Linked DNA regions of Mus musculus. The main gene of each other region encodes a partner of the protein of the gene in region 3 in a complex. Links are inferred from orthologs where the notes say so. Each region holds a gene or a part of one and is shown on either strand. Other genes may lie near its edges. The genes, in order: Rassf5, Sav1 and Stk3.

Region 1 (3,427 bases), on a different chromosome or scaffold from region 3:
GTGGCAGTGAGCACCTTTTACCCACTGAGCTCCCTCACCCGCCCTGTGATTGACTAATTTTAAGGATGCCTGGTGAAGAGAGGCAGAACTGAGTAAGTTGGAGAGCCCATGCATGCGTGATACATGAGCAGCACTGGAAGGTAGGTGGTGATTTCCCTAGTTAACTTTATGTGGCTGTTTCTTGAATTTAAAAGATTTCCGTGCTGGAAATCAGCGGGGCCAAAATGCAGGCTGCTTTCGGACCAGTCCAGCCCTCTGCAGTTGAAGTCATCAGTGACCCACACTCACATCATCATTGTAGATAATTCCAAGGACAAGTGCTGCTTACCTCTGTATCTAGAAAGCTGTAAGTCCCCTCCCCGTCCAGCACCGCAGAGATGGAGAAGAGGCAGCCAGAAGCAGTACCCTCTACTGTGTGGACAATTTTCTCAAAAGCGTTTGAATGGTAGCCTTCATTCTCTAGCTTACTGGAGAAGAAAGCTTGGCTCTGTCTAGAAATGTACCTGCAGTTGCCTCAGTCTTCCTCTCTCCAGCCCACTTTCCAGAAGATGTTGACGTTCAGCAAGGACGATTCCATCGTGACTTGTTTTTACAGTAAGCTTTTATTACTCATTAAAAAACATAGAAAGACATTTAGAAAGAAAATATCCTGAAAAGAACACATACAGAGCAATAATACAACCATAGAAGGCACTACCAGCAGTTAGACTCCTCTGAGACGTCAGGAACTCCATGCTTTCCAGAGGCTCAACCCTCAGTACAGGTCCTGGGTCTAACTGTGCTTTAAAGTCTGAATCTTACCATCATTTTCTGAATAAACGCCTTTCTGTATATATAGCTATATGCCTCTATGTGTATATACATATATATATAATACATGAATTTTTTTTTCTTGTCAAAAATAAAAAGCCATCCATGGGGGGACGTTCTCAGCAGCATTCACAGTGTTTGCAGCAGGAGCCATGCCTTCTCCTAACGCTACAGACATGCAGGATGAAGGGAATGACTTTCCACGTGCCCCTGTAGTACACAGCAGGACGGGGGCTTCTTAAGGGAGAGAGGTGTAAGGCTGGGCATGAGACCTCAGGCAGCCAAGGGGCTGATGGCGTGCACAACCTCAGAGTCGCTAGCTCATGTTGCTTTTTGCAGCTCTGCAAACGATGCACAGTTTGAATGACAAGGATTTGGCGTTCTTCTGGGACGGGAGCAGTGTGGCTTCAGCCTGGGCTGGTAGGGAACTTTTTAGGCTACACGGAGAAGCTTGGGCTTAAAACAACCCGAGGAAAGGGTATGGAAAGGCAAGCACAACATGAAAGTGGTCTCCTCTGGAGGCTCAATTGAAACACTGGCCCTCTTTTAAAGGGACAAGTTTTTCTCCATCTGTATTGAGTGTCTTTGCAGTCCTGGCTACTCTGGCTGATTGGTTTTAAGTCTGAACTACTCAAGAGTTGGAGTCATAATCTGATGCTGTCAATGCAGTCTAGTAACCTCGCATCTTCAAAGTCAAAGCCTGACCGGGAAGCTTGATGGGAAAGAGGCTGATCATCAATCACCCTGTGCTCTGAGGCTGTGTCCTTGGCTCTATAGCACCATTGTCCACTTCCTGCCAGGGGCAAGCCAGCAGAGAGCTTCAAGCAAAGTGCCCCACTCTTTTCTCTGCAAACAAAAAGGCACTGAAGTCACCAGGGAAGTCAGGCCCACGGGTCTGCTCAGTGCTGTGCTGCGAGCAGACCATGCTTCCCACCAGAAAGGACTCCAAGTTGGAGGACTTTACCACTGTAATCAAAGCTACTACTCAGGCAACAGCTGGAGACCCTAAAGCCAGAGGTGGAGGTGGAACTGAAGGCCAAGGAGATTCAGGCCCCCCACCCCCTGCAGGCGTAGGCCACAGACAGCTTGGATGTGCTTCTCTGTAATACTTTCTGGCAGCTCAGCAAGAAACTAAAATTGATAAGTGGCTGGTTTCTCTTTGGTAGAAACCCATAAGGAGGACAGCATTAAATTCAAATGTTAACATATCAAACATTGGACAGAGACATGCTGAAATACCACACAGATGTGCATATATGTCTTTGGGTTTGCATGCACACAGCCTGCTGGGTAATAAGAGACGGCCTGGTCAGGCTGTAGCCTCTTGAAATCTCAGGCTGACCCTGAGTGTCTAGTACTAGAGAAGAAGAGGCACCTTGGGGCAAGGACAGTCCTTTCATGAGCATTTTCCTGCTTTCAAGGACTTAGCTAGAATGAATATGCCACATTTGATCCTTAAATATACTATACGTGGCCAAAAAAAACCAACCAAACAAACCAAAAGAGGAACTGAAGAGTAAATCCAGAGAAAGAACACACAGGCTCTGAAACCTTTCTTTCCTTTTGCCGGCTGGTGATTGATTGGAGTTTGGTGACCAGAGAGGCAACTATTTGGTTTCTGAGAGGCCAGCAGACTGAGCAGGGAAACACTGGTCATTCCACAGGAGTTCTGATCCCAGGCGGAAGCTCTCCAGAGCCATGGTGTGGTGGGTTAGCAGGAATCGAACCCTGCATAGACACTGCGTGGAAGAGACTTTGTGCCACATCTGTTAACTGCTGGGCAGGCACTGGTGGAACCACCAGAGGTGTCTTAACAGTAACTCTTTGTTGCAAAATAATTAACAATAAAATAAATTGGAGGGCACTGAGAGGACAGGAAGTCGGCTGGTTACCCCGGCTTCCCTTGGGACTCTCGTAATGCCTCTTCCAGTTTCTGACGGAATTTGTTGTACTTCTTTTGCAGTTGATGGATCTTGTCCTGCTCCTCTTTTTCCAGGATAGTTAAAAAGTTCTGGAGTTCAGGAATGGAAAAGGCATCCCACTATGAGAGGAGGAGGAGAAAACAAGTGAAAATGGTTAGAAGTTGACATGTCTCAGGGCTCTGCTGTTGCTCCACAGTGAGCCAGCCAAGTACACTTTTCAGCTGAAGGGGCGGGTATCACGAATGACATTTGTGTACCGTACACAATGGTCACATCAGCCACAAATGGTCATGTCCCGGAATCTCCTGGAGTTCCCAGCCTATACACCTGTGCTTATAGAAGAGCAGCTGCAACTGAGGATACACCTGTGCTTATAGAAGAGCAGCAGCAGCTGAGGATACACCTATGCTTATAGAAGAGCAGCTGCAGCTGAGGATACACCTGTGCTTATAGAAGAGCAGCCGCAGCTGAGGATACACCTGTGCTTATAGAAGAGCAGCAGCAGCTGAGGATACACCTGTGCTTATAGAAGAGCAGCCGCAGCTGAGGATACACCTGTGCTTATAGAAGAGCAGCTGCAGCTGAGGATACACCTGTGCTTATAGAAGAGCAGCAGCAGCTGAGGATACACCTGTGCTTATAGAAGAGCAGCCGCAGCTGAGGATACACCTGTGCTTATAGAAGAGCAGCCGCAG
Region 2 (2,903 bases), on a different chromosome or scaffold from region 3:
TAATTTCCAAAAAGCGCATCCTATGCTCCTTAAAGTTCATACAAAGTTAATGTTGAGAACTTAGAATCCTCGAGAGCATGCCGTGCTCACAAGTGGTCACACAGAAAAGCATGCAGTCACTAGTGAGTGGCGTCAGTGCTGGCAGACTGACAGGTGACAGAGGAACACTATTCAACTACAACAACTGAGACAGAAGATGAATCATTTGGGAGCCAAGTATTCCTGAGGATGAGTAACAAGAAATAAATACTAAGAAGACAGGTTTGGAGGCATGGCTCGGAAGTTCTTGCAAAGGACTGGAGTTCAGTTCCCAACCCCTCATTAAGTAGCTCCCATCCCCCTAGACCTCCAGCTGCAGGAAATCAATACTTTCATTTGGACTCAAGCTACACCACACATGTGTGTACACAAACACACACACATAGTTAACAATAAAATAAATTCAAGAATCAAAGAAAGAATAAACTTTCAAAATGAGAGAAACTGAAGAAAACTTCACAATGTGACATCATGTTGCTTATTCTCATGTGGGCCTTGGAAGGACTCTAGTCCTCCTTCAGTGCTTAAAGTAAGTTGGAAGTATAAAACCAAGGTAGTAACTTACACTTTGAAAGGGGAGAGATCAAGAGACAGCAGTCTAACTTAGTTTTCTTGTTTATAGATGAAAACCCTAATTATCTCCTGTAAAAATGTTTAGTGACTAACAGTTCAGGAAGGCAGAGGTGTATGGACCAAGGAGCTTTAGAGTGACAGTTTTTTAGGGTCACTGTCCATTACCATGGGAATGTAAATACAGTAAGTTATGTACCTATGTGATGTTGAGGTCATTTCTCAAATCACTGCAGGGTAGAGATAAAAGGAAGCTTTAAGTTGCAATGTCTAGTGAATTTGTTTATAATAACACTTCTGTCCTATCTAATGGCTACTTTGGTAACTCATTTGCCATTTTATTCCAAAGTCTATATAAAAACATATACGGCTCAAAAAAATACAAAAATAAAACAAAGTATACTGAGCAGTTCCTGCAAGCTGCCCAGGCTGCACAGTGCCACACACAGTTCCATCATCTTGGGTGTGTGTCCCAGGAACACCAGCACCGTGGCAAAGCTGCAAGCAAGCAGCTCACCCCACCCCCGCTTTTATTCTGTTACTTGAGGACTGAGGACTAATCTTGCAGAAACCTGATAGGCTCTTTTCTTGGCAGCACCACTCCTCATGGACAAGAGCTGGAGCTGCATCAAGGAGTGACAATGTGACCGCCTCCAGTGTCTCCAGCACAGCTGTCATTAGGTCGGTTCATTTACTCACCATTTCTCTGAAATTCACTAGTAATTCCTATCGAAGAACTTAATCTCAGAGTGTTCTGCTGTGTGTCACCACAGTACCAAGCTCTTAACTGGGTACCTTGGTTGTAAGTACTATATCATGTTACATGTTAATGTCATATAAAAAAGAAAACAAAAATTAAATGTCATATTTGGTATTCTTATGTATCCATTACCAGAGGTTTGTACACAAAGTAATTAGGATTCAAACATCTTTGAAGAATTTTTACTTCTAATCAAAGAATCAAAATTTATAACCTCTGATATCCTTTCTTAAATGTCACATAGAAGCCCAATAGTGTAAGAAAACCACAATACTTTTTGGGGGTGGGGAGTGGGGGGTGGGGGGTGGGGTGGGGTTCTCTCTGTAGCCCTGGCTGGCCTCTAGCTCACAGGGCTGCCTGCCTCTGGTGTATGTTGTCATCCCCATCTGGGTCCTATCCCCACCCCCATCCCCTCCACCCTGCCAGAGCTGGGATTAAAGATGTGCTGCCACCACCTAATCCATACTGACTATGCATGGTACTTAAGCTGGTTAGAGACCCCAAAGATACTCGTGCCGTGTGCTCACTTACTTCACAGGGGCTCGGGCATAAACCTGAAGCCAGTCAGGAATTTCTGCAGTATGGTAGGGATTTGCAGGGACCAGGAGAGACTGATTTCTTTCAGTTTGTTGTGGCTGATACGTGATGGGTGGAGGCTGATCATACCGAGGTACACTGAGAACAAAGAATTGACATTTATTAAAAAACAGAAGCCCTTTACCTAGGCCAGTAATTATGATGACCATACAGCTTAGCTGGACCGGGTGATGATCATCAGGACCATGCTGTATACACCACAGGAGATGAAGCAGATCACTGAGATCCAAGCCCAGACAGAAGGCATCAACATCAGTGAGGAGGCACTGAGCCACCTTGGGGAGATTGGCACCAAGACCACTCCGACATATTCAGTGCAGCTGCTGACCCCAGCCAACCTGTTGGCAAAGATCAACTGGAGGGACAAGCACTGAGAAGGAGCATGTGGAAGAGACCATCGAGCTCTTCTATGACACCAAGTCCTCTGCCAAGATTCTGGCTGACCAGCAGGACAAGTTCATGAAGTAATGTTGGGTTTGGAGGTGCACAGGGTCTCGTCTCAAGCATGCTTTGCAGTGTTACGGTTTTCTTTATTAAACCTCCACGGTTGTTTGGAAGGAACCCTTCCCTACTTAGCTTGATTTCTAATAAAAAAAAAAAAGAATCTTCTATCTATGTGCTTTCTGGCCAAACTGACCATCTTTCACTTTAACAGAACTTTCCATGCTACAGGTCTAGATTTTTTTGTTTGAAACTAGACTGTGTGGAAGTATACATCATCTTCTTTTGGAAGCTGATATGCTACTAGTGGTAAACACCCAAGTAACGGTGGAGTAGGTAAGATGGACTGGGTGTCCCCCACTCTGGCCTGCCTCAAGCCCTGGGCCTGAGTCCCACTTTGGAACCCCCTCTCCCTTGCTTATTCCTCAGTCCTGTGGTGTCCAGTCCTTTGGCTCAAAGGTCCCCCCAAACCCCACCTCTGCCTTTGTTGCTCTCT
Region 3 (2,562 bases):
CTATTAAGGAAGAACACCTGGGTAGTGTGTGAGCTGATGAGCATGTCTCATAGTTTGTAAGTGGACTCTGATAATGGTGAGTGGGATCCTGGGAAATGTCTAACATAGTATACACATTGGGATGCACGAAGCAAGTCATTAGTGTCGTGTCATCTTATTTTCAGTCTTATAATTTATACATAATTATACAATATGCTTTTCATAAGGATCCAACAGAACTGAACCAACATCACTTCAAGGCATGACTGTGGGCACAGTACTATTTTAAAATGGTAGACACTTTCCATAGCTAATTTGTCTTCTGTGGATTAGCTCAAAGGAAGACACGCTCTCCTGACCCTGGAACACCTATTATGCCCAGTGCAGCTGCTTCTGTTTGACACTTGTCAGGGCTCCTTCCACTGTGGCAAGGACCAGGGTATCTCTTGGTGGCCCCGGGGCATGAACAGAAGAACCTGAAGTCTCAGTGGCACCACTAATGATAGCTTGCCCTGCCAAACAAGCCTTCCTTGTTCAGGGCAGAATCCAGGCCATGAGCTTATCAACAACAAACAACAAAACAATAACAACAACGCCAAGTTCTGGGTGGCACAATGGAATTTATTTGTCTTTGTGAGGCACACATAGTAATTAACACATAAAAGAACACACACACACAGTCAAAAAGGACATGTGTAGTGCAGGAAATGACTGGTCCCAGGTCAATTACACAAATGCTAATGCTCTGCAGAAATGAGTCTTTTTCTAATACTTTAATTTTTTTTTTTTTAGGCCCTAAGGATACAGTTTTTAGTATAAAAGTTTTTGTTTTTGTTTTTACTGTTTTATTGTCAGATACATGATGCTTACCAATTCCCAGGAAATAAATGAAATCAACAAAAAGTCCTGTGACAGAAGCATATTCCCATAGGATAAACCTGATGAGTTATTGCAGACCAATAAAAGAAACATTAACAATTACATTTTTTTCCCTCAGTTTCATGTCTTTAAAAATATTTCCCACACTTTTTCGTGCAAGAGTTCATTGATTTCTTTGGTTTTACACTGTACTCTTTTTGACCTATGTATATATAGTTTTATTTTTACCAATATCAAAATCAGGAATTAACACTTCAAAAGGTAGAAATGGTATTAAGTCTTCAGTATAAAATGTCTGGTCCATTTGAACATTACAGCCATGACTTTGTGTCTATTGGAGTTGAAGGAGTACACTCAGAGCTCCCTGCTTAGTGTACAATTTGGTTGTGTGTTATAATCCGCAATGTGTCTGGACATTCACCAAAACTATCCTGATCTGGTCTTAAAAAAAACAAAAAAACCCCAAGAAAGTGAAACTGCATAAATAAATAAGTCTACCTGGGGGGTGGGAGGGGGATCAATAAATAGGCTTCTCCATAGGAATAAAGGACATTGGAACACAAAGCCCTCCAGTGCTGTATGATTGACTAAGCAACAGCTTTGGATTTCTAGTCTCCACATACAGCTTTCATTTTAGATTAGTTCTCTTGCAGGTGGAATAGCAGGCAGAGAGAGAAGTGCGCACGTTTGTTGTTCTCATCCTTTCAAAACGACATCAGAGTGGAGACAACTGTAAAGTTTGCTTTTGGGAAATTTATCTAGGTGTGTACCATCATTTTTGAGTTTTAAAAAATTGTAGAATATACATTTTAGGGATTAAAAAGTAGAATTCCTTCAATTCTTGTGGTTGCTTGGTTTCTGGTCATCCTGAGACAGAGGGAATCTGGTCAGAAATTCTGCTGCCTCCTCTTCTTCGCATCCATGGCATCCAGGATAGGTTGTCTTTTTGCACTGTATCTTTGATGCAGTTCTTCTATTTCTCGTTCCATCATGGGGTCTAGTGCTTTTAGCCGCATCTGTAGTTCTTCTAAACTTAGATTTTTTAACTAGATGTAGGAAAAAAAAAGAAATTAATAGTGTATAATCATTCAAAATACAGAGAAGCCTAATGAGTTTTAGAATAAATATTTCAGAAAATTCTTTACATGATCTTTAAAGCATGTCAACAATTAAAGCAAGAATTCCTTTTCTGAAGGAGCCACACCACACTACAGGAACCTCAAAGAATTCAGCAAAGGGATCAACGCCTGCACTGTCAGAGAAGACTATATGATGAAAAAAAGTAAGATGAAGAAACCTGTTTGAAAAGGCCCAGAGAAAAATGTGCTACTGTCAAAAGCAGCCTGAGTGATGCGCAGTGGGTGGTGCACTGCAGGTGGTACTCTGCAGGTGATACATTGCAGGTGGTGCACTGCAGGTGGCACTCTGCAGGTGATACATTGCAGGTGGTGCTCTGCAGGTGATACTCCACAGACAGCTTTCTACTCCCTGTGCTTTGCCAACTCTACCATGAGCAAAAACCCAATGCCAACAGACCAAGAACTAGGCCAAACTCAATACAAATACCTAACATTTCACCTCTTAAACAGAAAATTAAATTAAATTTTTAAAATGATTTATTTATTTACTTTGTACATATGAGTTCTCTATCTATATAAACTACCTACACACCACAAAAGGGCATCAGATCTCATTACAGATGGT

What was found.
Region 1: the proteins of Stk3 (region 3) and Rassf5 are in contact, whole or in part, in a crystal structure (PDB 4LGD), measured with the Homo sapiens proteins. The link is inferred for Mus musculus from reciprocal best matches to the Homo sapiens genes STK3 and RASSF5. Residues at the interface, in NP_006272.2 of Homo sapiens: Phe437, Phe439, Leu440, Leu445, Leu448, Gln449, Arg451, Leu452, Leu455, Asp456, Met458, Met459, Glu462, Ile463, Leu466, Arg467, Tyr470, Lys473, Arg474, Pro476, Ile477, Leu478, Ala480, Met481, Lys484, Gln488; in NP_872604.1 of Homo sapiens: Trp369, Asp370, Ala371, Phe372, Ile374, Leu377, Gln378, Phe380, Leu381, Leu384, Glu385, Glu387, Glu388, Lys391, Ile392, Val395, Gln396, Lys398, Tyr399, Phe402, Arg403, Lys405, Leu406, Ala409, Leu410, Ser413.
Region 2: the proteins of Stk3 (region 3) and Sav1 are in contact, whole or in part, in a crystal structure (PDB 6AO5), measured with the Homo sapiens proteins. The link is inferred for Mus musculus from reciprocal best matches to the Homo sapiens genes STK3 and SAV1. Residues at the interface, in NP_006272.2 of Homo sapiens: Trp429, Lys430, Val431, Pro432, Gln433, Gly435, Phe437, Phe439, Leu440, Lys441, Asn442, Leu443, Ser444, Leu445, Leu448, Gln449, Arg451, Leu452, Leu455, Asp456, Met458, Met459, Glu462, Ile463, Leu466, Arg467, Arg469, Tyr470, Ala472, Lys473; in NP_068590.1 of Homo sapiens: Tyr311, Ala312, Arg313, Ala314, Pro315, Asp319, Trp324, Glu325, Phe327, Gln328, Leu329, Leu332, Asp333, Gln336, Leu339, Lys340, Leu342, Phe343, Glu346, Leu347, Ile350, Val351, Met353, Tyr354, Ala356, Tyr357, Arg358, Ala360, Leu361, Leu362.

Annotation. Positions count from the first base shown.
Region 1 is NC_000067.6:131,175,827-131,179,253, forward strand, and holds the end of Rassf5 (ras association domain-containing protein 5), read right to left. Parts: exon of another isoform or gene 2,852-3,427; coding exon 2,699-2,851; 3' UTR 584-2,698; downstream 1-583. UniProt on the Homo sapiens protein: Potential tumor suppressor. Seems to be involved in lymphocyte adhesion by linking RAP1A activation upon T-cell receptor or chemokine stimulation to integrin activation.
Region 2 is NC_000078.6:69,967,170-69,970,072, forward strand, and holds part of Sav1 (protein salvador homolog 1), read right to left. Parts: exon of another isoform or gene 2,120-2,903; intron 2,045-2,119; coding exon 1,901-2,044; intron 1,291-1,900; exon of another isoform or gene 1,205-1,290; intron 1-1,204. UniProt on the Homo sapiens protein: Regulator of STK3/MST2 and STK4/MST1 in the Hippo signaling pathway which plays a pivotal role in organ size control and tumor suppression by restricting proliferation and promoting apoptosis.
Region 3 is NC_000081.6:34,874,917-34,877,478, forward strand, and holds the end of Stk3 (serine/threonine-protein kinase 3), read right to left. Parts: intron 1,905-2,562; coding exon 1,746-1,904; 3' UTR 583-1,745; downstream 1-582. UniProt on the Homo sapiens protein: Stress-activated, pro-apoptotic kinase which, following caspase-cleavage, enters the nucleus and induces chromatin condensation followed by internucleosomal DNA fragmentation.